7 linked regions of the Rattus norvegicus genome follow. The protein of the gene in region 4 interacts with the protein of the main gene of each other region in a biochemical or structural test. Links are inferred from orthologs where the notes say so. Each region holds a gene or a part of one and is shown on either strand. Other genes may lie near its edges.

Region 1 (4,203 bases), on a different chromosome or scaffold from region 4:
GCAAGCACACAAGTTACTGAGTCAGGTCTCAGCCTTAAAAAAGAAAAAAATCAGTTTAATAAGAACGCTGGGCGCTAAATTTAAAAGGTACTAAAACGGGCCAACGTTGAGAGAGCTAAGAGATTGCTGCAATAACTCAGGCAAAAACTGACACTGACTTGGTCAAAGTCAGAGCAGAGAAATAGGCAAGAAATGGGTGAATCCTGAAACAATCTATACCAGTGGTTCTCGACCTTCCTAATGTTGCAACCCTTTAATACAGTTCCTCATGTTCTGGTGACCCCCAACCATAAAATTACTTTTGTTGCTACTTCATAACTGTAATTTTGCTACTGCCTTGAGTCATAAATGTAAATATCTGATTATGCAGGATAGCTGATATTCGACCCCTGTGAAAGGGTCATACAACAGCCCCCACAGGGGTCACGACCCGCAGGTTGAGAATTGCTGATGGAGACAATACAGTGGGATGTCCTTGTTTTGAGAATCTGCAAGTTTTCATTACAACCTTTTTCCAACCAGGACTTTAAGGGTTCCCCAGTAGACTTCAATTGCAAGCAATGAGAAGGCCCTGAACTGCATTTAAAGTCACACAACAAATGTCAATGGTAATATCATTAGGACAACGGTCAAAAACAATATGTCACCCTCTCCAGAAAATTATTCACAGATTTTATTTAATGGGTCGATTTCAAAGAGCATACCTGGCACCTGCTGCTCGTACTAACGTGTGAAGCTGTTTATGCCCACATCCCCACATTTTTCCTTCTGTGCTAGCTAGCTAGCTCCAGAGGACACGTGCTCTTGTGTGCCATTCTTGCTGACTGTGAGAAAGAATAGAACCAAATCCTTCTACGTGAGTGTCAGGGCACTCGTTGGTTTTCCCCAAAGGTACTTTCCTCACTCCCTAAAACTCATTTAATGTAACAGCCACCATCCAAATGATTCGAACAGCACAGTTAATTCATTTCTTTCAGCAACACACACACACACACACACACACACACACACACACACACACACTCCCCCTCATTCTGGCCTTGTAAGCATTTGCTTATAGAAGCAAAAGCAGGGACTGCTCAGTAAAACACTGGTCCCTTCAGCCACATGCAGATAAAGCTCTAGTGAGCATAACCAACAATACGCCTTACACAGTGTCACTCAGAGCACCCAATACACCCCATCTACGGTCACATACAAATAGCCTTTATGAAAAGAAGCCACTAGTGAAAGGCTGAGTTTATGCATCTTGATGCCTAACACATTTCCTTCCACTCTGCCACAAGCATGTACAAAAAGCCTGCTCGAGCAAGAGCAAACTCTTCCCAGAGTTTGTTCCCATTACTGGATTCAAGGTCCTGCCCCAGCCCCGAAGGAAAGGAACCTGGCTCCACTCTCCAGCAGTTAAGACTCAGCTTCCTTCTCTCCCAAAGCAAGGATTCTGCCCCTCACTTCTGCCTCCCTGGCTCCTGAAAGGGAGGCCCTCCGCCCCTTTGCCAGGTAGGAAGTGGAGACCTCACTCATCCAGACCCTAGACAGTCGAGGTGATGATGCTTCCTGGGTTAGCCTTACTTCATCTCACAACCGAAAGGGTAGAAACAAAGTCACAGATTCCAGTGACTACCCCCTCCCTCCATAAACATTACAAATAAAAAGGGCTTCAAGGGTCCAGAGTGACCAAGGAGAGTTATAACCAATTCTGCCAGACAAGTAGCAATGAAGGGTGGTGTGAGGGATAACAATTCTGCAGAGGTACTGACTGTTAGGAGGCACCAGACTAGAGAGCATCTTCACTCCAAGCCCAAAGTTCTTGAAGCACCTGGAGAATTAAATGTGTGTAGCTGCCAAGGAGATCATTCCCAACCACCACAGGCCTCTAAGATAGCTTAATTGCTCCCTCCCTTCCTTTAGCATTTGCAAGGAAGAATGGGGAGACACGCCCACCCGCAACCTCCCCCCCCACCCCCCATCCACCCCACACACACTACCTCCCGCCCAGGGCGCGGGTGCTGTTCTGTGGGAGGTGGAAGGTAAAAGCCAGGTGAACTTCACTTAGAGGTCTCTCTAAGTAGTATGTCCCAGGGGGGCTAGACTACAAGGGAAGGCCAGTTCATTGCTACCCTGAAGCATCAGATCTCCATCCACCCCAGGCTCTCCCTCTCGGAGCCCATCAGCCTGCTTAGGATCTTCAGAAAAATTACTCCTGGTAGCACCAGATCACCGTCCCTGTCCGGTGCTCCTCCTACCCCACCTCGCGCCGGGTACCGCCCCAGCCCCCATCCAGCTCAGCAGCTGGCATCTGCAGTCAAGGGTCCCCAAGCCTGGATGACCCATCCCAAGAGACTCACGGTGTCCCAAGAGTGCCACTGTCAGATAACCTGGGATGCGAGCAAGTCATCTGTGAGCAGGACCCTAAATGCCAGGGGCTAGGTCGCCCTGTACCCCAAGCAAGGGCACGGGGTCCTTGTCCCAGAGCTATCCAGACTGGCTGTTCTCCTCCCAGGGTAGCAGGCGCCGGGCCCTTGGGCCTCCTGCCGCGCCTCCCTCCAGCTGTCACCACTCACCTGCTCTTCAGAGGTTGACTTTTGAGTTCGTAATAGGTTTTGGGTTCTTCGTGAAACTCCTCCCCGACTTCGAAATCCGCCACGATTCCCGATTCAGACTGCATGACTCCTGCTTGCCCGCCTTCCACTGCTTGGGACTTGGACCAGAACCCGGGCACCTGACAAAGATGGGGAGGGCCTCGGGTACCCCAAGACGCGCGCCCCGCTCAGTGCCCCACTCAGCCCGCTAGCCCGCTGCCCGCCCCGGCGCGGTGAGTTTACTCTCACACCAGGGCGGGAGGGGCCGGGCCCGGTGCGCTCTGGGATTTGTGGTTCTGCCCAGGCCCAGCATACCAGCTCTCCAGGATATCAGCTTCCGCAAAACTACAATTCCCAGAAGGCCAAACCGGGGAGAGGCAACGTGGTGTACACCGATAGTGCAAGTCCTGTTTGGATTCCTTGTCAATGTCAGCAGCTCCTCTCCGTGTCTCTCCCGTTTGCCTCAAGGATACAGACCTGGCTGTTTAATATTAATAAGAACGGACTCAGTCTGGGCTTCTACTGTCCCTCCTGGTTTAGACATCTGCGAAGACACTCGGAGCGTTCATTCAAAAAAATAAAACACTAAGGGGTTTTGACGCTAGAAAGTTTCGGTCAGAGTTAAAGCCCATTTTAAAAATAAAAGTGCTTTCTATTCGCCCCCGAGCTCTTCTGGGCTGCAGCGACACATCATTTTGTCCTCAATTGGAACAGAGTGTTGGAAACTTCACTTTTATAATGAAAGCGTTATTGGAGGAGTTGTTCTTGTGCCTTCCTTTTCTGGAACTCCTTCTGGGCTCCCAGAATACTCTTCATCCGTTGAAAGGCTTCTTTCCTTTTATCCAATTAGTCACCTCTAATCTAAAGCAGCACTTGAAAGATTCAGTTAATTTTAAAAGGCACCAAGTAACCAAACAGCTCACCACCGTCTGCTTTCAATTTCTCAGTTGGCTGGGAGTTCAAATGAGATTGTCCTAACATTGCATGCCGGTGCAGCTTCGAGGCACTCGGTTAGGTGATTATTAAATGGCTGCACTTTGGTTCATTTGTATGTCCAGACCTGTCTTCTGGTTAGTTCCAGCAGGACTCTTCATCGTGTATAAACAACAACGAATGCTTTGAGATATCGGTGTTAAGGGTGGCATTTTAAGATGGTAGAAATCCCCAGTTGTTCTAGGAAATCCTGTGCAATCTTAGACATGTCTGTTTCATTCCTAGAAACCTTAATTTCCTCATCTATGAAAGAAGAGATTAGGAAACCTGTTTGAGATGGTGTTGCAAGGTCAAAAGTAAGAAAAAAAATTACTTGCAATTTATATGCACTGGGGGCAGGCAAAATGGTTCAGCCAGTAAAATGTGTTTATTTGCAAACACAACCTGCAATTGATCCTCAGGACACTCGTGACGAAAGTAGGGAACTGTTAACTCCTGAAAGCCAACTTCTAACAGACAAATGCAGGTGCCCACACACATGCACATGCAGCAGACACACATAATACATGCATAGAACTTGTTAAAAGCTATTCAATGACTATTAATCTTGGCTTTCTTTCGGCTATCTTGAAGACATTCTTTGCAAATTCTCACCTCTTCTGTGTATTTTCACTTTCAGAAAATATAA
Region 2 (3,500 bases), about 2.8 Mb from region 4:
GTCCCTTTTTGACCTCAGCTAAGTAGTAAAAGTAGTAGCAGTAGCTTGTAAGACAAGCTTACACATGTTCTACCCTAGTGGAGGTATTGAATAGGAAAGATCAGTTGGGTGTAGTTACTCTTTGGTGCTCCCATTTACACCATCCCATGTCTTCTGAAAATTCATATAAATGAGCAGGTTTTCCCAAAGCAAAGGACTGGGTACCGAACATGCAGGATGGAGCATAGCACTCCTGCCAGTGGAATCCTGGGAGTGGTAGAGAAACTCCTCTGTTGCTTAGATTGTGAATTAACATCCAGGAGAAGTAACCGGACATACAAGTGCCCTGGCCAGGCTGGGAGGATTTCATCCTTAGCCCTCTGGAGGTAGTAGCCTATGGCCCAGGTGCATATGAGGTCTGTGGAACCCCATAGCCGAGGAAATGGGTGTTAGTCTAATAGCTTTATATGTGGTTGCAGGGCAGTCAGGGTGACAGCAAGAATGCCAAGAAAAAGAACAACAAGAAGACCAACAAAAACAAAAGCAGCATTAGCCGCGCCAACAAGAAGAAGCCCAGCATGCCCAATGTTTCCAACGACCTGTCGCAGAAGCTGTATGCTACCATGGAGAAGCACAAGGAGGTAGTGCATAGGCTGGTGGGGGTTCTGAGGGTATTCAGTGCCCAGAGAAACAACAGGCACCTGCCTGCGAGGTTGAGCTTTTCTGTATAAGTCTGGGACAGGAGAAGGTGGAACAATACTTGTTAATATATTGTTTGGCTTGTTATCAGTTAAATTCCATCCCAGGAAACCAGAGCCTCAAGCAGTCCCTAGGTTTGGTTATCCTCCTGTTCCATAGGAAGATGTGGCCTTGCACTGGCACACACTGCTTCTCTGTGGGGATAATACAGCTCCTCCTTTCAGGTCTTCTTTGTGATCCACCTGCATGCTGGGCCTGTCATCAGCACTCAGCCCCCCATCGTGGACCCTGATCCCCTGCTTAGCTGTGACCTCATGGACGGGCGGGATGCCTTCCTCACCCTGGCCAGAGACAAGCACTGGGAGTTCTCTTCCTTACGCCGCTCCAAATGGTCCACTCTGTGCATGCTGGTGGAGCTGCACACACAGGGCCAGGACCGCTTTGTCTATACCTGCAACGAGTGCAAACACCATGTAGAAACACGCTGGCACTGCACTGTGTGTGAGGTAAGCCCTTCCACCTCTCTCCTGGCCTTCCTCCATATGCAACATTGTTCCCTGCAGCATCGGGAATGGATGCAGGTGTTGGCCTCTGTGACCTACATTGTCTGTGCTAACCCTCCCAGGGTGAGGAGTGGCACCCTTGTAATCCCTTTCTTAATCTCTGCTCTTGTCCACCACAGCTACAGGCTATATGCCGAGGCAGCCTGACTGGAAAGAGGCTATGCAAAACTTTAGCTCTACAGGGATTCTGGTGTATTTATCTCTTTCTAGCTTTGCTAAGTGATTAAGGATGCCTTTCACCCTGCTGACAGGTTGGCACTTTTGATTAGGTCCAATGGCAGGATCGCAGAATGTGGTTAGAAGACTTGATGTAAGCCACTGGCAGTTTCACTGCCTCCTGCCCTGTGGGTAGCTTGACTTCACCCTTGTAGAGCTTGTCTTGGACAGGTCAAAGGTTGCTTAGCCCTTCTTCTTTGCTTACCTTTTCAGTTCCTGCCCCCTGTTGTCATCGGCCATATCCCCTCTTATCCTTCTCTATTGTCCGTTTTATAGACAGATAGACTGGCAGGCAGGCAGACAGACAGACACGCACACGCACACGCACAAACACACCCACACCCCTACCCTCTCAATCCTCTTTCTGCTTTACTGATTTTAGGATTTTGTATGTGCTTTCTGTGAGCACAATTTCTAGGCCCAGCCATAGGACGTCATCTTCAAATGTGTATTCTGTGGGTGGGTGTGAGTGTGTTATTTGTAAGTAAACATATTTGTGTATATGAATACAGAGACCAGTGGAGAATTACTCTATAGCTCTTTACCTACCTCATTTCCTTAAGAAAAGAAATGCCACTGAATCTTGAGCTAGGCTGATTGACTGACCAGCGATCCCAGCAGTCCTCTTCGTTCCTCCTTGTCTTGTGCTGCCATTAAAGCTCACAGCCATACCCAGATTTTTGTTTGAATGCTGAGGATTGAGACTCAGGTCCTCTTCCCCACTGAACTATCTCCTAAGCTCCTATCCTTTGGATTTAATGCTTCCTTTTTAGTTTCTACGTTGAAGTATCTCTCAGCCACCAGGGCTTCTGTTGTTGAGGAAGGATCATTTTGATGATGCCTCTCTCCGAGGGATAGTGTCTCACAGTCCACTAACAGTGCTTGGGGGAAATGACCCTAGTGTTCTTAATCCTTGCTGTTAAGTCTAAAGCACATGAAATAAAGAAGGAAGGTAATCGTTAATAACTGGATCAATCATTAATTGGTCCTACAATATGCCCCATGCCTAAGGGTGTCTGCTCGTGCTGTGCCTGTGCTAATGCGGTTTGTTCCTCTTGTCCACAGGACTATGACCTTTGTATCAATTGCTACAACACAAAGAGCCACACCCATAAGATGGTGAAGTGGGGGCTAGGCCTAGATGATGAGGGCAGCAGTCAGGGTGAGCCACAGTCCAAGAGCCCCCAGGAATCCCGGCGTCTCAGCATCCAACGCTGCATCCAGTCCCTGGTGCATGCCTGCCAGTGTCGCAATGCCAACTGCTCGCTGCCATCTTGCCAGAAGATGAAGCGAGTCGTGCAGCACACCAAGGGCTGCAAGCGCAAGACTAATGGAGGCTGCCCAGTGTGTAAGCAGCTCATTGCTCTTTGCTGCTACCACGCCAAACACTGCCAAGAAAATAAATGCCCTGTGCCCTTCTGCCTCAACATCAAACACAAGCTCCGCCAGCAGCAGATCCAGCATCGCCTGCAGCAGGCTCAGCTCATGCGCCGGCGAATGGCAACCATGAACACCCGCAATGTGCCTCAGCAGAGTTTGCCTTCTCCTACCTCAGCACCACCCGGGACTCCTACACAGCAGCCCAGCACACCCCAAACACCACAGCCCCCAGCCCAGCCTCAGCCTTCACCTGTAAACATGTCACCAGCTGGCTTCCCCAGTGTAGCCCGGACTCAGCCCCCCACAATAGTGTCTGCTGGGAAGCCTACCAACCAGGTGCCAGCTCCCCCACCCCCTGCCCAGCCCCCACCTGCAGCAGTGGAAGCAGCCAGGCAAATTGAACGTGAGGCCCAGCAGCAGCAGCACCTGTACCGAGCAAACATCAACAATGGCATGCCCCCAGGGCGTGCAGGTATGGGGACCCCAGGAAGCCAGATGGCTCCTGTGGGCCTGAATGTGCCCCGTCCCAACCAAGTCAGTGGGCCTGTCATGTCTAGCATGCCACCTGGGCAGTGGCAGCAGGCACCCATCCCTCAGCAGCAGCCGATGCCAGGCATGCCCAGGCCTGTAATGTCCATGCAGGCCCAGGCAGCGGTGGCTGGG
Region 3 (3,500 bases), on a different chromosome or scaffold from region 4:
AATACACCGAACTTTTTTTCAAAATTATTTTAATATTCATCTCTTCAGAGGCAAGATGGTCTCAGATTTCAGGCTTTTTTTTTTATTTTACCATAAATGAAAAAACATAAAAATTGTGTGCACCCAAAAAACTACACAATTATAAAATTGTAGGGATTAATTAAATTCCAGGCTTCTTTGTGGTATGGAGACTGAATACTGAGCATTTTTTACTATGCAACATGAGTGTACGTGGCCTATGCAACCCAACTAAGATTTTCATTCTGAGTCCACTGACTTCGTCTCCAGTATCAAGTGTGCGATTTTTATTCCTACCCATATATCTAGTGGCCATAGAAATATTCTCCCAAAAGTCTTACTTGTGTTGCTTTAATATCTAAAGTACGACCTTTCGTACTGAAGTCTGAATCTTTCATGAATTATTCACAAACTAGATGTTTATATGTGCAGAAATTATCAATAATATTTTGGAAAAAATCAGACCACCTGAACATTCCCAGGAAATGGAGTCCATAAATATACATTAATTTATTATACCTACTTATTTCACTTGACAAATGAAAATTAGAGCTCTTCTGCAAGCAGAGTTCTTATACTCTTACCTCCAAGTTTTAGTCATATAATATAAATAACTATTCAACATGCACCTAGGTACCGATCATGAAATGTCTACGCTGTATGCAGTTCTTGAGCTGAATGGAAGCCCGCATTCATTTTAAGTAGACTGGGATGGGAGTTCAGGTATCTGAACCAAACATGAGAAGGAATTTATCTTTTCAACTGTTTTTCCTGTGATCAAGTAAGGAATATGCAGAGATCATTGAAACAGAAGAGTAGAATTAAGGCCAAAAACTTCCTGTGATGATTTCCTGAAATTTTTTTCTCACAGTCCTGACTTAGTCTCTGATACAAATATCATATATTTACCTTTGCAAATCTTTACAAATATGTATGTGGTAGTCAGCTTAAAGCATCATGGCAAGACACTTTAGGCTGACTGAGTGACTTATAGCAACAAAAACTGGTTTTCTCACGGTCGTTGATGGGGGATGGAAGTACGAGCCTGGAAAAGTCTGGTGAGGACTCTTCCTTAGTTCCTTAACTTCCCCTTGAGAAGACAGCTGTAGACACCATCATGCTAAGTCTTTGATACATGAACTGATCCAAGGGAGAAACACGGTTTGGTTCTTAGGATAGAGCAATGCATAGTTTTTCTTTGTTTTGGTTTTTCCTACTGCCAATACTTATCCACCAAATGACTGTGTCGAAGTATCTTTACCTAACTCCAGAGCTGATGTATTTTAGAAAAATCATTTCTTCAAATGGTTTCCTCGTACTTTTCATTAGTGGTGACAGTCCCCAAATCTCCTTAAGTCTGAAAACACTGCTTTCAAGAAAATTAAACTTTTCTGTTCCTCGGCCACACCCCTTCCAAGATGGATATTATTTATTTTTAGCTTAAGACACTACGTTTTGGTTACTTCCTCTGATCTTGCCTAGTGAGGAAAGAAGAGATTAGTAGCATAAAGGCTATCCCTGCTCTGAATTTCAGTGTGGTTGATATTTGTGAGGAATTTTCAATGCATTTAATGTATTTTTTAACGTTTCTCTTTTATGTATTGTGTGTGTTCCCTGCAGACTCCCAGGCCTTTAAACATCATTAAACAAAACAACGGCGAGCAGATTATTAGAAGACGGACAAGAAAGCGCCTTAACCCAGAGGCACTTCAGGCTGAGCAACTCAACAAACAGCAGAGGGGAAGTGGGGAGGAGCAGGTCAATGGAAGCCCCTTAGAGAGGAGGTCAGAAGATCACTTAAGTGAAAGTCATCAGAGAGAAATTCCACTTCCGAGCCTGAGTAAATACGAAGCCCAGGGTTCATTGACTAAAAGCCATTCTGCTCAACAGCCGGTCCTGGTCAGCCAAACTCTGGATATTCACAAAAGGATGCAGCCTTTGCACATTCAGATAAAAAGTCCTCAGGAAAGTACTGGAGATCCAGGAAACAGTTCATCCGTATCTGATGGGAAAGGAAGTTCTGAAAGAGGCAGCCCCATAGAAAAGTACATGAGGCCTGCAAAACACCCCAACTATTCTCCACCAGGCAGCCCCATCGAAAAGTACCAATACCCACTTTTTGGAGTTCCTTTTGTACATAATGACTTCCAGAGTGAAGCTGATTGGCTACGGTTCTGGAGTAAATATAAGCTCTCTGTTCCTGGGAATCCGCACTACTTGAGTCATGTGCCTGGCTTACCAAATCCTTGCCAAAACTATGTGCCTTATCCCACCTTCAATCTGCCTCCTCATTTCTCAGCTGTTGGATCAGACAATGACATTCCTCTAGATTTGGCGATCAAGCATTCCAGACCTGGGCCAACTGCAAATGGTGCCGCCAAGGAGAAAAGCAAGGCACCATCAAACGTAAAAAATGAAGGTCCCTTGAATGTAGTTAAGACGGAGAAAGTTGACAGAAGCACTCAAGATGAACTTTCAACGAAATGTGTGCACTGTGGCATTGTTTTCCTGGATGAAGTGATGTATGCTTTGCATATGAGTTGCCATGGTGACAGTGGACCTTTCCAGTGCAGCATATGCCAGCATCTTTGCACGGACAAATATGACTTCACAACACATATCCAGAGGGGCCTGCATAGGAACAATGCACAAGCAGAAAAAAATGGAAAACCTAAAGAGTAAAACCTTAGCACTTAGCACAATTAAATAGAAATAGGTTTTCTTGATGGGAATTCAATAGCTTGTAATGTCTTATGAAGACTTATTAAAAAAATAATTCATAGAGCCTGCCTTACCCAACATGAAATTCCCTTTTTCTTAATTTCTTTCTTTTGATGAGTAGGTTACCAAGATTTTAAAATGAAACATATGGTCAGTGAGAAAGAATGGAATTGATAGATAATTTTTTAAAAAAAAAAAAGGAGAACTAGAGTGAAAATGATCTTACCTAATGTGTACTGCTGAATCTCTGTACAGAGGCCCAACCAAATTATAGCCATTTGTTTGTAAAGATACAAATGCTCTCTATTGTTTGAAGGAGTTTACATACTATCATGTGACAGCAGTATTAGGCTGGCTATTGGCCCATCCATTCAGATTAGGTTGCCTACAACTTAAAATATCATGAGATCTCAGCCAAAGGAGGAGAAAAAAAAATCTCCAGGGCAATGGAAGAAAAAATGGCACCTCTCAAAGTAGGCTCCTCTCATTGACCATGTTTCAGATTTAGACCTCAAAATGTGAACTGGTTAGGCTTGTTGAGCGAGCAGTAAGAATCGTGACAGTTGGTGGCACAATGCTTTTTGGCCAGCCCTGCCTGTACACACACATGCACACCCTCCTTGATACTTTCGTCCTTTAGATGCTCCAGTACTTGGTAGTCATTTGTTTTACAGTTTAGATCCATTTTGTTTCAAATCTATCCACTCTTAAAACAATGTCCTTAGTGCTTTAGGTAGTAATTTTTTTTGCCAGATATTTCT
Region 4 (3,500 bases):
CAATTAAAAGAATGAATCACAGGGTTGGGGATTTGGCTCAGTGGTAGAGCGCTTGCCTAGCAAGCGCAAGGCCCTGGGTTCAGTCCCCAGCTCCGAAAAAAAAAAAAAGAAAAGAAAAAAAGAAAAAAGAAAAAAAAAAGAAAAAAGAAAGAAAGAAAGAATGAATGAATCACCAACAGTACGGCAAAAAGAACTCAGACAGACAAGAAAATCCCAAACAGCAGGTAAGATTCCATCCAGTGGTTCCCAATAAGCCATGTTTAAGCACTCCTGGGGGACCCTGCAGCAGGCAAATCTCTATTTACAAACCAGCTCAGACCTGGCCTTACCCTGGGCAGAATGGTGGTGGTGGGCACTGCACACCCAAGCAAGTTGTGCTGCACTGAGATCAGTTCAGCTTTCTCTTCTAACAACAGGTCTGAAGGCCACAAGCACAGCCTCTTACTGGGATGTGGGGCATCCAACAGAACACAACAGACGGGAATGAGTGAGATTCTTCGCTCTCCTTTAGTGCTTTGAATTGAACTCAGCACCTGATGTATGCTAACTAATCTACTGGGAACTTACAGACCCCTGTTCTCCTACTCCCCTGTGGCACCTGTGGGCACAAAAGCACCCAGGAGCTTAAGCCTGACACAACTCTCCCTCTGCCTCGTGTGGTACATCCCGATTGGTTGGGACTAGAGACCACTCTAATTATATGCGCCTCTACCCTGGCTTGTCATCCAAGCCGGCTCAGCAGTACTGACTTTATCCCAGCACTGACACCTGTCTGCTAGACCAAGCATCCATAGACATGGCTCCCAAAGGGTGGCACTGGGAAGTGGACTGCCGGCTCTCTGCACAACTTACATTTTGGTGGTGAGGACGGATAGTCATCTTTGAAAAGCATCCGTAGCTTGAACAAGCCTCCTTCCCACGGAGTCTGTGGGGAAGGAACCAGAGTTAGACCTGTGGCTCACTTGCCAAGGTGAGCCAAGAGAAGTTTCCTTAAACCTGGGTCCTTCGGGCCTGTTCTCTACACTATTACTGTCCCCCTAGGACCAAAGAAGACCCCCACCATGCCTATGAGGAGCTTGGCAGTTGCTGGAAAGCTTAGGATCCACAGTTCTTGGGTGTCTGAGACACCAAAAAGCTCAGCAAACAAAAGCTAAGCCCAGCAGCTCGTACCTGCACTATTCAAGCCAGCACCTCAGATCTATCAAGGTGGGGAGAGCACACCACTCGCCACCAGACGGTTTTCCTACTCTCAGCTCATGTGATGGAAGCACTACAGTGCCCATGCCCCAACGTGACTTGAGAGACAAGCACACCCTGGCACGTCAAAGACCCACCTCACACTCACAACAGAGCCTGTACAGATGAACCCAAACTACGGTTTTGCTCAGATACTAAGCTGAACCCGGAGGCCCAAGTTTGGACAATGTCTGAAGTTAAAGGAGACCCTCCCTCTCACATAGGCTGGAAAAGAGTAGACAACTGGATGCACTGAGGTCAATGTGTGTAAAGAAACACAGCCTGTGCTCTCTGTGGACACTTTACGACCTTCACCAGCTCCTCACCTCAAGGCTGGTCACCAATCCAATGATTTGCCAGGGTCCAAGCCTCCCTACCCCACAGGCCACTCCTTATCCTGGGGAGAGCTGTGACCTGTGGCTAGCTGTGGTCACAAATCCATGTACTCAGGTCCCTATAGTAGTTCAGCTCCCTTGAACCTCTTAAGTTAGTAGGTACAAAGCCAGTGGTCACCCTTACCCCCTTCTTTCCAGGGATAGCACACTCCCAGTTCATCAGGTTCATCGTGCCATCAGGGTTCTTTGTTGGGACAGCCACAAAGCCCTGAGAAAGAAGTCACAAAACAAACCAGCTCAAGACAACAAGCCTGGCTCTCACCCAGTGGCCACAGGCTGAGTATACCAAGTCAACGGAAAGCCCCTCCTGTGACCAGACACAGGCTGCTCCTTACAAAAGGGTGGTCCTTCCTCCAGGCTTTCCTCTCCTGCGCAAGTCGGCTGAGGGCAATCCCCGACATATTCAAAGTCCCTGGAACGGAATCCACAGAGGGAGGGTTAGGTAAAGCACACACACATCTTCTAAGCCACATCCCACCCCAGCCAGAGAGGGCTGTCACCAAGAAGCAGGTAAATGAGGTGGAGCCCAGCTGGTCAAGCTGCCCTTGGAGCAAGTGCGAGCATTGCACTTTTGACCAGTCCTCAGAACACCTCCAGGCAGGCAGGTAGAGCACCAGTGCTGTCTCTCTTGTGCTCTACAAACTCAACTGCTGGGAGGTACAGTGAGAATAGCCTGCAAAAAGGCTGTCCCCTCCCTGGCAGGCATTGAGCATCAGCGAGACTTAGCACCCACTCCACAGTCAAACTCTCAGGACAGGTAGGGGTTCGCAGGTACCTCACACACTCATCTGAGGCTAGGATGTGTCTTGCTGGTTCACCAAGCACCATATAAAACACCACAAAGGTAGAGTACTAGCCTGGGAGTTAGAGGAGGGTTCAGGAACAAGGGCCCTGAGACCCCGGCTTAGAATCAGGTCCAACAGGAGGACAATCACTACTCCTAAATGTACTAGTGAGAAAAGTCCGCACCATAGGGCAGAGCATGGCAAACTTCCATAGGCAGACTACCCCAAGAGGCCAGACTATCGGCCTGCAGCTTATCAGCTCACAGTTCAGAGATCTGCCCTATGACCCTATGGGAACGAAGGCAAGATCCAGGTCAGGCCAGCAGCCTCTGCCAGGGACCATCTTGGCACACTTGGACTCCATTCAGCATGGGTGAAGGAGCATCTTCACCTAGGACCGCAGCCTGTTGTTTTGACTGTGACTCCAACCTGGATACCACCTGCTTGGGTTTTTGGTTTTTTTTTTTTAAACCTCTATATCCTTTTTAATATTACTTAAAAAAAAATCACATGAAACAGTAATCAGAGACTCCCAAACCTACAGAGCACTGGGATTTTGGGGTGTGTGCATCACAGGGACACGACCCCTCATGAACAAGAATCTAGTAGGGCAATAGGTGTTTCATACCGAATTGCTTCTCAGAGGTTCCGTTTTTTCTTTTCTCTTTTTTTTCTGGAGCTGGGGACCGAACCCAGGGCCTTGCGCTTGCTAGGCAAGCGCTCTACCACTGAGCTAAATCCCCAATCCCAGAGGTTCCTTTTTTGACCCCAGCTTCAGGCTTCTATTGGTCTTGTGGGTAAAATCTCCCAGCAAGACTAGCACTAGCCTAGTCTTTTGTTTTCAGCTCAAAGTCTTCACTCTGAGGTGGAACCTTCAATTACCTCTGGACAAGAGCAAGATTCTTGCTAGAACACACTCCTGTTACCACCTCAGACAGGCCTCAAGCAGACATCCCTAGAGTTCCTGCTACTTAGACTTAGCTCAGGCTGCCCATTTTACCTGCAAAGCCATGACTACCCTAGGAATTACTGTGTGTTCTTGACCTAGCCAGGGCCTCTCAAGCTTACACAGCTGCCCGGCCAT
Region 5 (2,643 bases), about 72 Mb from region 4:
CTCCAGCTCTAGGGAATCTGATGTCCTCTTCTGCTGACCACAGGTGCCTGCACTCTCAAATGTGCATACACTGACACACAGACAAAAACAAAAAATCAAGCAGATTAAGATGTCTTTTATCCCATCACTTGAGAGACTGAGAGACAGAGTCAGTGGAACTCCCCCCCCCCCCCCCCCAGCTGGGGACCGAACCCAGGGCCTTGCACTTGCTAGGCAAGCGCTCTACCACTGAGCTAAATCCCCAACCCCAAGTCAGTGGAACTTTAAAGTCTGTCACCAACAGTGAGCTGCAGGACAACCAGGGATACGTAGTGAGACCTTATCTGAGGACAAACAAGATGAATCCCGCAGGAGAACTTGGTTGTAAAGCCACCTCTGGCACCAAGGCCTGTGCTTAAGCATCCATGTGTGGTGTAGCACCTCCACCTAGCTAGTACACACACACCCAACTCGACTCCCTCAGAGGTTCATGCTCTCTACTCCCAGCTGATAAACAGCTATTTCTGTACCCTGGGCCAGCCTCAAATTTTGGGTCCTACTGCTCAACCTCCTAAGATGGCACCATAGACAGACACCATCTCTGGACTCCTTTCATTCCGACCCCAGATTTATAGAAATCACCACAGGCCTATGAGAAGCAGGACAACTCTGGGCAGAGACTGATGTACTCACATACTGATTCCTCAGCTCTGAGATGATGAGGCGGAGGCTGATGTACTCTTTCTCATCGATCTCTGTGACAGTGCGGCGATAGTCCTCCTGCATGGGGAGTAGGGAGGCTCGTCTTCCAAGGCCCAAATGCCCACAGGCTGCTCAGTCCTACTCTCTTCTCTATCTTGCCACCCCACCTCAGACCACAAAACCCTACTTACCACATGGGGGTATTTAGCTATTTTAGAAACCAATTTGGCTCTTGTAATATAATATCTGGAAGGAAAAAAAAGCAGCTGAAGGGAGCCCTGAGCACGCCTCCCACTTCACCAACCACATTCCTGGGCCTGGACCCTGAGCACGCCTCCCACTTCACCATCCCCTGTTCCTAGGTCCAGCGCAAACCACCTTACCTAGAAATCTGGTCCAGATAAGACGCAGCTTCACTCTCGACAGTTCTTAGCTCTGCAACTGTTTCCTCCTGGGGATAAACAGGTGAGTCAGGTTACTTCCCCACCATCTACTGCAGCACCACAGAGCAAGGGAAAGCAAGCAGGGAAGGAGCGGAGTTTGCAACGCGGGCACACTACCTGAATCGACACCCCGAAGTTGTTCCCATCTTCTATCCTGGGAATCAAGAGCTGAACCCACATTTTGACCTAGAGCATGAGAAGACAAAATACTTGTAGAAGGACCTTGGTCCTTCCTACTTAGGCTTGGAAGTACATGATTCTTTTTTAGAAAGGATGTATTTACTTATTATATATAAGTACACGGTAGCTGTTTTCACACACACCAGAAGAGGGCATCAGATCTCATTATAGATGATTGTGAGCCACCATGTCATTGCTGGGAACTCAGGACCTCTAGAAGAGTAGTCGATGCTCTTAACCACTGAGCCATCTCTCCGGCCCCCGAAGTACATGATTCTTGCTGGTGGGGACTGATGCCAGGGCAAAGGAATCAAAGGCCTTAGCCTGCCAACCCCTCCCATCATTCCACAGTTCCAGAGGCGCTCGTTGGGCACGAACCCCTGCCTCACCGTGTTACATTTCTCGATCAGCAGCCGAATCTCAGGTTTTACTTTCTCAATAATGTCCACAAGCTGCTGGTTGCTTTTCAACATCCCGTTGGGCATCACAAACACCTTGGTTCCTGGAAGATATGTCAAGGACACATGTTCACTGCAGTGAAAAAGTAAGAGCAGCCTCCACCTTTTCCTTCTTCCCTTAAGCTGGATGTAATAATCTCTTCTAAGTGACTACACCACCCCTGATGGATCAGGTAGCAATTACTCCTACGGGGAAACTAAGGCACGGAATATGGGCCTCTAAGCATCCTCCCTGGTATCCACACAACCAGACCCTCTTGGCGTTCCAGAAGACTAAATGACTGAGCCAGGAGGATTTGCTGATTGTTAACCTTGGAAATTAAATGAGACCTCAGTTCCTGAAGTCCAGATCCATCCTACATCTCAGGGCGGCTAGTCAGCAGGTGAAGTGTGCTGATTAGATAGCAGCTCTTACCTTGGAAGGCCTCTTCACATTCATCCAACCTGCGCTTCTTGTAAGTGGGCTAAAGGTATAAAGAAGCAAGAATTAGTGTGGATTCAACACACATGCCCATCACAGACACTATACAAACAAGTTTAATTTTTGCATTCAACAAGCATGCCCATTACAAGATACTGTACAAGGAAGTGTAATTCCTTTCTGGACCCCAGAGATTATATATGAATTTCTTTTTTTGTTGTTGTTGTTGTTGTTGTTTCTGGAGCTGGGGACCGAACCCAGGGCCTTGCGCTTGCTAGGCAAGCACTCTACCACTGAGCTAAATCCCCACCCCTCTATCATATGAATTTCAATGCACACACACATAAAGTTTTTAAAAGGGGTTCTCGTCAAAAAGAAACTTACATTCTGGTTGGGAAGGCCAAAGTTACCACTAATAGAACACATTTAAAAAGCAGCCGAAGTGGTCAGTAGGTTGGCT
Region 6 (4,008 bases), on a different chromosome or scaffold from region 4:
ACTCAGAGTCCCTTTCAGTGTCTTAGTCAAGATATTTTGCTTAACAAAACTAGGGGGAAATGAGAGGAGGGTCATTTAGTTTAGACTCCTCTTGTCATTCTCTAGCACACACATAAAAGCCTTCTGAAGGTGAAATACCACACCACACTGAGCAGGTCCTGAGTGAGAAGTGGTAAAGGAGTAGCTCCCTTTGTCCTTGAGGACTTTGATATGTCAAGTTATGACATATCAGGGCATTGTGACATATATGTATGATACACATGTAGCTCATACGGGAAAGTAGTGGCTTCCCTTTCCTTGGTAGGACTTTTGCTGTAATTGTGACATATCAGGGAATTGTGACATATGTGCGTGTCACCTCATAGGTGTTTGTGCCACTTTGTCTACTCTGGAGCCTTCAGTCAACAGAGCTTAGGTCTCGTCCAGCTCTTGAAGGGCTTACTGAGGTGGAACTTTGCAGCTTCTTGAGTGCTCTTTGATACCAAAGAGCCACATTTTCCTCTCCTTTCCAAAATGGATCTGGAAAAGTTAACTGGAGGAGGAGGGGGAAGAAAGGAGGAAGAAAGAGAAGAAAAAGGAGAGCAAAGTGAAGGGAAAGATTCAGTTGGAGAAGGAAGAGAAAGAGAGGAAGGGGGAGAAAGAGAGGAGGGAGGAGAAAGAGAGGAAGGCAGGGGAGCAGTGGGAAGAGAAGAGGGAGGAAGAGGACAAAGAGATCAAGGAGGACAAAGAGAAGGAGAGAGAGAAAGAGATAGAGAAAAAAGTGAAGGAGGAGAAAGAGGAGGAGAGGGGAAGGAGGAGAAGGAGGGAGAGGAGAGAGAGGGACAAGGAGAAGGAAGAGAAAGGTTCCGGGAAGCTAAGGGAATCAGTGACTGGTCTTTATTCCTAAGTAAGAAGGATTCTAAGTCCCGCAGATTGGCCATGGTTTACCCGGGCCCGCTGTCTGAGCCACTGCTGGGGCCACCATGTGAAGGTAGGCACGAGGGGGGCGCTGGAGGGCGGGCGCGGATAATAAAGGCCAAGGTAAAGGAGGCGCGGGCCAGGAGGCGCGGGCGCGCTGGAGGAAGGAGCGCTGGCCCGGGGCGGACGCGGGGCGTGGAGAGCAGTGACTGTGAGGCTGGGCTAGGCAGTGCTGACTTTAACCTGGGCTGCGGAGGCGGGGGAAGAAGGCTAAGGAAGGGGAGGTGTGTGGGACCGGAGTGGGTGGGGGGAATTGGAAGCAAATGACATCACCTCAGGACTGAGTAAAAGGGAAGAGCCAAAAGCATTGAACGGGTCCTGGATATCCAGAAGTCGAGTCCAACCTGAACCTGTCCGGACACAGACCTTAGTGCACCACGGAGACATCATGCAGAAGTCGCCTCTGGAGAAAGCCAGCTTTATCTCCAAACTCTTCTTCAGGTGAGAGGGTGCCCAGAGGATCTTTCAGGGACACGTGTGCCCATGCCAGAGAAGGGAATAAATACGGGCAGACTTTGGGAAAACAGGAAGAGATTTTTGTTGAGTTTTGTTTTGCTTTAAAGGTGTGTTGTCATTCATTGCTTTAAAGGAACTATGTATTTTGTAGAATGAAATAAAACTGATGGAACAGAGAACAAATATATATTTGCACCTGGAATCAGACTTGCAACAGCCAAATATGCAACAGAGCAATAGATTTTTTTAAATTTCCTGAAAACAGTTATACATCATAAATGTACTTAATAAAACATTAAGATTGGTCCATTGTTTTCTCCCAGAAAAGTTTGTCTGCAGGTGGCGCGCCTGTATATAATAGGTGTTTGGAAAACGTTTATTGACTCAGGTTTTTAAAAATCAAGGAATTATACTTACTTTTGCTGTTATAATATTGAGTAAGACTAACATGCTTAGTACAGTTACAGTATTCTTCTTTAAGAATGAGCAAGTCAGTTAAAATACCTAACTTTAGAAAGAAATACTGTAAGCAATGCATTTGAAAATTCAGTTACTCTGGGGATATGAGACTAGGGTTCTAGCCACTGACGCTATATTCAATTGATACTTAGGAGATTGTTCTCTTATCCTACCAAAAAAAATTAGAATCGAAGTTGGAAGACCTAGGCAAGTATTAAGCACTTTGTATATGAGGTACTCTGTGGAGCTTCTTGTACTCAGTCATGTAGTGTGAATGAATGAAGAGAACAGCTCTCTCATGGGTCCTTAGCTGGCTCAACCCCACCCCCAGTGAATCAGCACACTAAAGTATCATAAATGTGGAATATGTTCTAAATGTGCCCTGTGGTGTGGGTACGAGGCAAGGCTCAGCCTTCAGTCCTTTTTCTGCAGGTCTAGAGCTCAGGACTGAGGGGAGGCAAGTGCTTCTACAGGAGAGCTCCTCCCAGTGGATGGGAGAGAAGGTCCCTCTTTACTCTTTAGAGTGGATATTTGTAGTGCCTTTTCTTACTTCGTCTATAAATTTAGCTTATCAGCCTGGATCTAATTTCTTACTACTTACAATATCAGATTGTCAATTGACATAAACTTTAGACTTTCACCAGAGCTTATTGAGGAACTTAAATGTCAATCTGCCTGAAAAGGCAAGTTTTCTGAAGAATGAATATCTCTTGTGTGTTTCCCCCACTAAGTATTAAGAAACTTCAAAATTTTTCACTTATCAAAGTGTTTCAAAAATTTCCCGTTTTTATAATCCACCTAATACATTTTAGTGTGCTTTACAAATGTTCTTAGGCAGATTTGGAAAGGAAATGTATTATAATGGCTGTGAAATTTGTTAAGAACATACTCATTTCTGTTCTCCAAATGATTTCATAATCAGTTGCTTTAAGAATAGGTGTGTTTTTAAGAGTTTAGTTCCTCCTATTTATAGGAGCTGACATTTAGCTAAGTACCAGTCAGTGATTATAAACTTCCTTCTGGACTATACTTTTCAAAGGGTGAAAACCTTTTCTCCACTGGATTAGGCAGTGTGCTTAGTGTCCAGGGCAGTGGGCTCTGGAAACTTTGCATTTTCATATAGCTTTAAGAAAAAGATCATGCCTGTTGTGTATCTGTTAGCATATGCATGTGTGCGTACACACATGAACATGCACATGCACATGCACATGCTTGCTTTTATGCCCACAGAGTGCAGTATAAGATATCCTCAGAAGAGCCATCATCTCCTTTGAGACATGTCTCTCATTGGCCTGAATTTCACCAGTTGTTAGACAAACTTGTCAGCGAACCCAAGGAGTGTTACTGTCTTTGCCTTGGCAGCAATGAGATTGTAATCATGTGTCGTCACCTTGCCCACCTTCTCATATGTGTGCTTGGGATTGAACTCAGCTTTTCATACTTGGGAAGCATGTTACTTTACTGACTGAGCTATAAACAGTTTCAACAAGTTAGGTAGCAACATTTCCATTCTCTTTCTGATCCATGCACAGACACTATCTTACGTTTGCTAAGACTTAGGTTATCCAAATCCAAAGGCCACTTTTGATATACTGAGGATATGGTATTTAGAAAACTCAGGATAGCTGTCCGTTTAGTTGATGGATGCCATCCAGTGGCTACAGCTCCAGAGTTCCATGCTATCATTTGGCTTTTCTTTGATAGAATTGGAAGAATCCACATCTAGGATGGAGACCCTCTGTTTCGACAGTGGGCAAGCACTGCCCAATGTTAGCTCTGTACCAGTCCCTTAGGACTCCTGTTTATTTTTCACTGATCATGTTTGAATATTACAAAGCTTAGAATTTTCAACTTGGGATTTATGTTAGGTTTTTGTTAATTTTGTTTAGTTTAATGCACAGTTCTAAGAGTACCACTTGTACACAACATGATGAAATTGTCATTTTGTGTATGTAGTATATATGGGTGTGTATGTGTAATAAATATCCCTATACAGTGAAATTTATTTTAGTTGATATCACAATTATTAAAATCTCTTCCAAGGTTTTATAGCACGTTAATACACAATATACTTTTAATAGTCAATCCATTGCTCCTCAGAGCAGAGGAAGCTATAATTATTTTAAAATAACTTCA
Region 7 (4,122 bases), on a different chromosome or scaffold from region 4:
CCCAGGAGGACCATGTCTCCCCCAACTCTTGAATTCCCCTGAAGCCAAATGACTCTCCCAGAGAAGTTTTCCTTCCTATTGGGTAAAGAGCAATGGAGGGTCAGACTGAGAAGTAGGAACATGTGGGTGGGGGTTGGGGCTGTGGAGCAAAAGGGTCAGTCTGACGCTTAAAGAGAGTTCATGACTGAATTCAGATCATCTTGGTCAATGGGCCAGGCAGAGGAGTCAAATCAAGGACTGAAGCCAGAATTTGTTGCACCAGGAGTCTTTTCTAGCTCCCTGGCTTCGTGGTTCAAGTCTCAAACACTTAAAACAGCTAAGCAGAGCTGGGTGTTGGAAACCTCAACTCCTCTCTTCAGGAGTCTGCCTGTAGCTTGCCATCTCCAAACTACCCAGGTTCTGAGCTCTGTAGCTACCCAAGGGTAGGCAGGGTGTCCACCTCAGTGGGCCTGCCCAGTGCAATGGAAAAAGACTCAGTGAAAGATCAGCTTTCCTTCAGGGATGGTCTCAGCCTCTTCAAGCCCCGGGTCTGAAGGTGTCTCACTGTCCTGGCTTTCAGACAGCTCAGCCCTGCCAAGGCTACCGGAGTGATCCTGGGTAAACAGATGGGAATCTGGGTGCCTATAGTTTCTTTCCAGTCACCGAGATGTGGGAACACTCTCCAAATTATCTAGAGGGCTATAAAACCAGGAGAAATATGCCTAAATACTCCTACATAGCTACTATGCTGGTGACAGGTTCTGCCCCCACGACCTCTTCTTCACCGCCCTCCTCTCTCCCTTCCTTTTTTTCCTACTCTCTCCCCCTATCCCTTTGGTAGAATTGAATGGTTATTTTGAGATCTAGCGATCTGAAGGGCTTAGGCAAGCCTGAGGTTTGGGTGTATAAGCTGGTCAAGGTCGGAAAGGCTCCTTCATACGGTTCTGGGGAGGTATGACCCCAGCAGCCCCTTGGAGGTCTATCAGTTCTAGTTCCATCTGGCCTCAGTACCAGGGGAGCCTTTGAAATACTACTGCGGTGCACTGGGTCAAAAGAGCTCGGCTCGACTGCGGTCTGCACTCCGCTAGCTACCTTGCCATCTTTAAATTCACCAGGGTGGGCTAGGGACCCAGCGAGAGCACCACGTGTGTGGTCCCAGGTCCCAGGGAGCCCTGCGCCTGTGTGAGCACTGAGCAAGCTTTTCTCCTGCATGCCGCCAGCCCGCTAGCCAGCACCCAGCGCCGTGTTGCAAAGTGAAATAAATGCTCAGCCTTTGGTGGATGCAAAGCTCACAGAGCCTCTAGTGTCCCTGCCCTCTGAAGAGCCAGGGCACTCGCTTCCCTGTGTTTTCTTTTTTGTAAGTACAGAACGTTTTTTTTTTTTTTTTTTTTGGTGAACATTTCCTCAATTGATACTTCAGGGCGTAGCTGGACCATAAAAAAAGCAATCAGTGCCTTAGGTGGAGTCAGCAGGCTGCCCCCAGAGAAAGGGACAGAGCTGGGGCCCTGATTATCCTGTTCTGAGACTGAACTGGCGATCACTGAAGACGCAAGGACCCCAGGAGAAGGGTCGACCCTGGCTCCTGTCCAGAGGAAGCAGAAGGGGCGCGTTGTAATCCTAAATTTACTAAATTTATGGTAAAAACCACCAAATTTATGGCTCTATATTGGTGTAAATGTATGTGTGTGGATGTCTATCCTTTAAAAAAGTGTGTCAGGCATGGTGGCTCACACCTATAGTTCCGGTATTATGGAGAGACAGGAGAGAGACCCCTTGTCTCTCAGGAAATCAAAAACAAAACCCAAACCTCACTCATCCCCCAAAATCAACAACAAGGAATCCCAAGATGCTTCATAGTGACTAGGTATGTAGCCCAGTGACTGAGTGCTTTCCTAGAATGTGCCCAAACATTCCACTTATGGGGAGGATATATGGTTATTTCTGTCTATAAAAGCAAGTCACAGTCACAGTCTGACTTTGTTTTTTCCTGAATGCCAAGAAACAACAAAAAAAAATTTTTTTTTCTATAGGCTTACAATGAATGAGACATCTTATGGTCCGATACCTTGAAATGTCACAGTGCTGGGAAGCTCCCTGTCAGTTTTTTGACCAATGGCTGATTGATGTTATTTGCTTGTTTCAAACTGTTCAAAATTTTACTTGGCATGGGTTGATTCAAAACGATCAGAAATTATTAAGGCTGACATAGATGATTAAAAAACTATATTTTCTGCTGGGCAGTAATGGCATGCACCTTTAATCCCAGCACTTGGGAGGCAGAGGCAGAGGCAGAGAGGCACAGAGGCAGAGAGGCAGAGAGGCGCAGAGGCAGAGGCAGAGGCAGGTGGATCTCTAAGGCCAGCCTGGTTTACAGAACGGAGTTCCAGGACAGCCAGAGCTACACACAAACCATGTCTCCAAAAACTAAGTTTTTGCCACATCGATCTAATACAATGACATCCCCAAACACCAGATACAGTAAATGATATTCATGTGTTGAACTATTCATTTGCTTCTTTCAATGTCAAGAAAAATAAATGTGTGATACTATGCGCGGGCTTATTGTGTGCTTTTAATAATCACCACAGGCAATGTACTGCATTAAAACACAAATCCACCAGGAGTAGCGCAAACAGCCAGATGCTAAGAGAGTGGCTTCCTACTTACCAATAGCTGGAAGTCCATGCTTAAGAAAGTCTTGAAAATCCCCAGTAATCGAACTAGCAGACATTCTTAGCGAAATTATTGGCAGTCCTTTGGCTTACTGCAGAAATCATTGAACGTGGGGAAGGTTGCAGCCTGTCATATTTTGTGACCTGGGGAAGGAAGCCTCAGACTACCGTAACCCTCATCTCCTTAGTGAAAGTTAAGAAAAAAAGGGGGAAAAAAACAGAATTCAGAAAGGCCCAAGCCATGCTCTCCTGGACTCTGTACTTTTTCCAGCATTCGTGACCTGCTGTAAACCATGGCTCCAGTTTCATGATGGTTTCTAATCACAAGAAAGGAAGCTTTCAATAGGCTTTGACTGGTCACATGACCCTGTGCCGGTTGATAAGAGGACCCTGTTATAAAGTGACAGCAAGAGAGATAAGAACTCTGGGCAGATAATGGCAAAGAAATGATTAACTCAGAAAAGGAGGGGTTCTTCTGCAGCCCAGAGAGTGGAAAGTTGTAAACCCAAGGGGTCAGGAGATCATACTTAGTGGATAAAAATCTCCAAACCACCTTAAGTCCACTGTAGCTTGTGACATGGCCCTTTGATGTCTTTGCTTCTGGCATGGAGAAGGACAGACACTGCTCTTCTGACCTCTGCAAATACATCTTAGATGATAACGGCGGCCGGCATTAATTCTTTAAGTGATCACTGTAGATATGATTGACACTTTGAAACTCTACAGGTAGCATTTGCAAGCTCACGGTCATTTCTTTACCATTTGACCAGTCACCTTCAAAAACAACCCCGTTTGTTTACTAGGATAGGCACTGGCTTGCTTTTGTATTGGTCATAGGGCTGGAACAGTAATTTCTTTACCTCCATAAAGTAAAACACCTTGAGGTAAAATTTGGGCCAAATGGTAAATATAGGCATTTTTCATATATCGTTCTGTATATATGAGTATGTGTGTATTTGTGGGGGGCTCACCTGTGTGTGTGTAGGGGGAGAGGGTACACTGGGTGCTTGTGCACAAGAAAACAACTTTGGGTGTTGTTTTGCTTTTTCTTTGTTTGTTTTCCCTGAAACAGAGTTTCTCTGTGTGGCCCTGGCGGTCCTGAAACTCTGTAGACCAGGCTGGGCTTGAATGCAAAGATCCCCCTGCCCCGGTCTCCAGAGTGCTGAGATTCAAGGGATTTTTAAAAGATCATAGGATGTCAAATCTTGTCAGTTATGTCTTTGCTGTTATTTCTTTGAACAACCAAACAACAGTGTGATATGCCAGAAATCTCCCTGTGTATATTTTAAAGGACACAGAAGTCTGCAAAGCAGCCTTTTTCTTAAAAATTATTTAGGACTCTGAAACATCACTGTTCATATAACAGATCTATTAGTGTTTACTATTCTAGAAGCTAAAATGGAGGAACTCAGCATAGCTAAATAAAGAGTGGAAGGGGTTGGGGATTTAGCTCAGTGGTAGAACGCTTGCC

Evidence for each region.
Region 1: the proteins of Ube2i (region 4) and Mitf form a complex in vitro, tested with the Homo sapiens proteins (2 studies listed by BioGRID). The link is inferred for Rattus norvegicus from reciprocal best matches to the Homo sapiens genes UBE2I and MITF.
Region 2: the proteins of Ube2i (region 4) and Crebbp form a complex in vitro, tested with the Homo sapiens proteins (2 studies listed by BioGRID, with this or other methods). The link is inferred for Rattus norvegicus from reciprocal best matches to the Homo sapiens genes UBE2I and CREBBP.
Region 3: of the proteins of Ube2i (region 4) and Trps1, one has a biochemical effect on the other in vitro, tested with the Homo sapiens proteins (2 studies listed by BioGRID). The link is inferred for Rattus norvegicus from reciprocal best matches to the Homo sapiens genes UBE2I and TRPS1.
Region 5: of the proteins of Ube2i (region 4) and Psme3, one has a biochemical effect on the other in vitro, tested with the Homo sapiens proteins (2 studies listed by BioGRID). The link is inferred for Rattus norvegicus from reciprocal best matches to the Homo sapiens genes UBE2I and PSME3.
Region 6: of the proteins of Ube2i (region 4) and Cftr, one has a biochemical effect on the other in vitro, tested with the Homo sapiens proteins (2 studies listed by BioGRID). The link is inferred for Rattus norvegicus from reciprocal best matches to the Homo sapiens genes UBE2I and CFTR.
Region 7: of the proteins of Ube2i (region 4) and Nr5a2, one has a biochemical effect on the other in vitro, tested with the Homo sapiens proteins (2 studies listed by BioGRID). The link is inferred for Rattus norvegicus from reciprocal best matches to the Homo sapiens genes UBE2I and NR5A2.

The regions. Positions count from the first base shown.
Region 1 is NC_086022.1:131,964,337-131,968,539, reverse strand, and holds the start of Mitf (microphthalmia-associated transcription factor), read right to left. Parts: upstream 2,801-4,203; 5' UTR 2,669-2,800; coding exon 2,565-2,668; intron 1-2,564. UniProt on the Homo sapiens protein: Transcription factor that acts as a master regulator of melanocyte survival and differentiation as well as melanosome biogenesis.
Region 2 is NC_086028.1:11,960,840-11,964,339, forward strand, and holds part of Crebbp (histone lysine acetyltransferase CREBBP), read left to right. Parts: intron 1-458; coding exon 459-620; intron 621-902; coding exon 903-1,184; intron 1,185-2,522; coding exon 2,523-3,500. UniProt on the Homo sapiens protein: Acetylates histones, giving a specific tag for transcriptional activation. Mediates acetylation of histone H3 at 'Lys-18' and 'Lys-27' (H3K18ac and H3K27ac, respectively).
Region 3 is NC_086025.1:83,811,236-83,814,735, reverse strand, and holds the end of Trps1 (zinc finger transcription factor Trps1), read left to right. Parts: intron 1-1,638; coding exon 1,639-2,700; 3' UTR 2,701-3,239; downstream 3,240-3,500. UniProt on the Homo sapiens protein: Transcriptional repressor. Binds specifically to GATA sequences and represses expression of GATA-regulated genes at selected sites and stages in vertebrate development. Regulates chondrocyte proliferation and differentiation.
Region 4 is NC_086028.1:14,791,755-14,795,254, forward strand, and holds part of Ube2i (SUMO-conjugating enzyme UBC9), read right to left. Parts: intron 2,044-3,500; coding exon of another isoform or gene 2,033-2,043; coding exon 1,967-2,032; intron 1,840-1,966; coding exon 1,756-1,839; intron 926-1,755; coding exon 853-925; intron 1-852. UniProt on the Homo sapiens protein: Accepts the ubiquitin-like proteins SUMO1, SUMO2, SUMO3, SUMO4 and SUMO1P1/SUMO5 from the UBLE1A-UBLE1B E1 complex and catalyzes their covalent attachment to other proteins with the help of an E3 ligase such as RANBP2, CBX4 and ZNF451.
Region 5 is NC_086028.1:86,760,933-86,763,575, reverse strand, and holds part of Psme3 (proteasome activator complex subunit 3), read right to left. Parts: intron 2,227-2,643; coding exon 2,178-2,226; intron 1,807-2,177; coding exon 1,694-1,806; intron 1,311-1,693; coding exon 1,242-1,310; intron 1,133-1,241; coding exon 1,065-1,132; intron 928-1,064; coding exon 873-927; intron 760-872; coding exon 673-759; intron 1-672. UniProt on the Homo sapiens protein: Subunit of the 11S REG-gamma (also called PA28-gamma) proteasome regulator, a doughnut-shaped homoheptamer which associates with the proteasome. 11S REG-gamma activates the trypsin-like catalytic subunit of the proteasome but inhibits the chymotrypsin-like and postglutamyl-preferring (PGPH) subunits.
Region 6 is NC_086022.1:47,526,421-47,530,428, forward strand, and holds the start of Cftr (cystic fibrosis transmembrane conductance regulator), read left to right. Parts: upstream 1-1,208; 5' UTR 1,209-1,235; coding exon of another isoform or gene 1,236-1,345; coding exon 1,346-1,398; intron 1,399-4,008. UniProt on the Homo sapiens protein: Epithelial ion channel that plays an important role in the regulation of epithelial ion and water transport and fluid homeostasis. Mediates the transport of chloride ions across the cell membrane.
Region 7 is NC_086031.1:50,982,139-50,986,260, forward strand, and holds the start of Nr5a2 (nuclear receptor subfamily 5 group A member 2), read right to left. Parts: upstream 2,801-4,122; 5' UTR 2,711-2,800; coding exon 2,647-2,710; intron 1-2,646. UniProt on the Homo sapiens protein: Orphan nuclear receptor that binds DNA as a monomer to the 5'-TCAAGGCCA-3' sequence and controls expression of target genes: regulates key biological processes, such as early embryonic development, cholesterol and bile acid synthesis pathways, as well as liver and pancreas morphogenesis.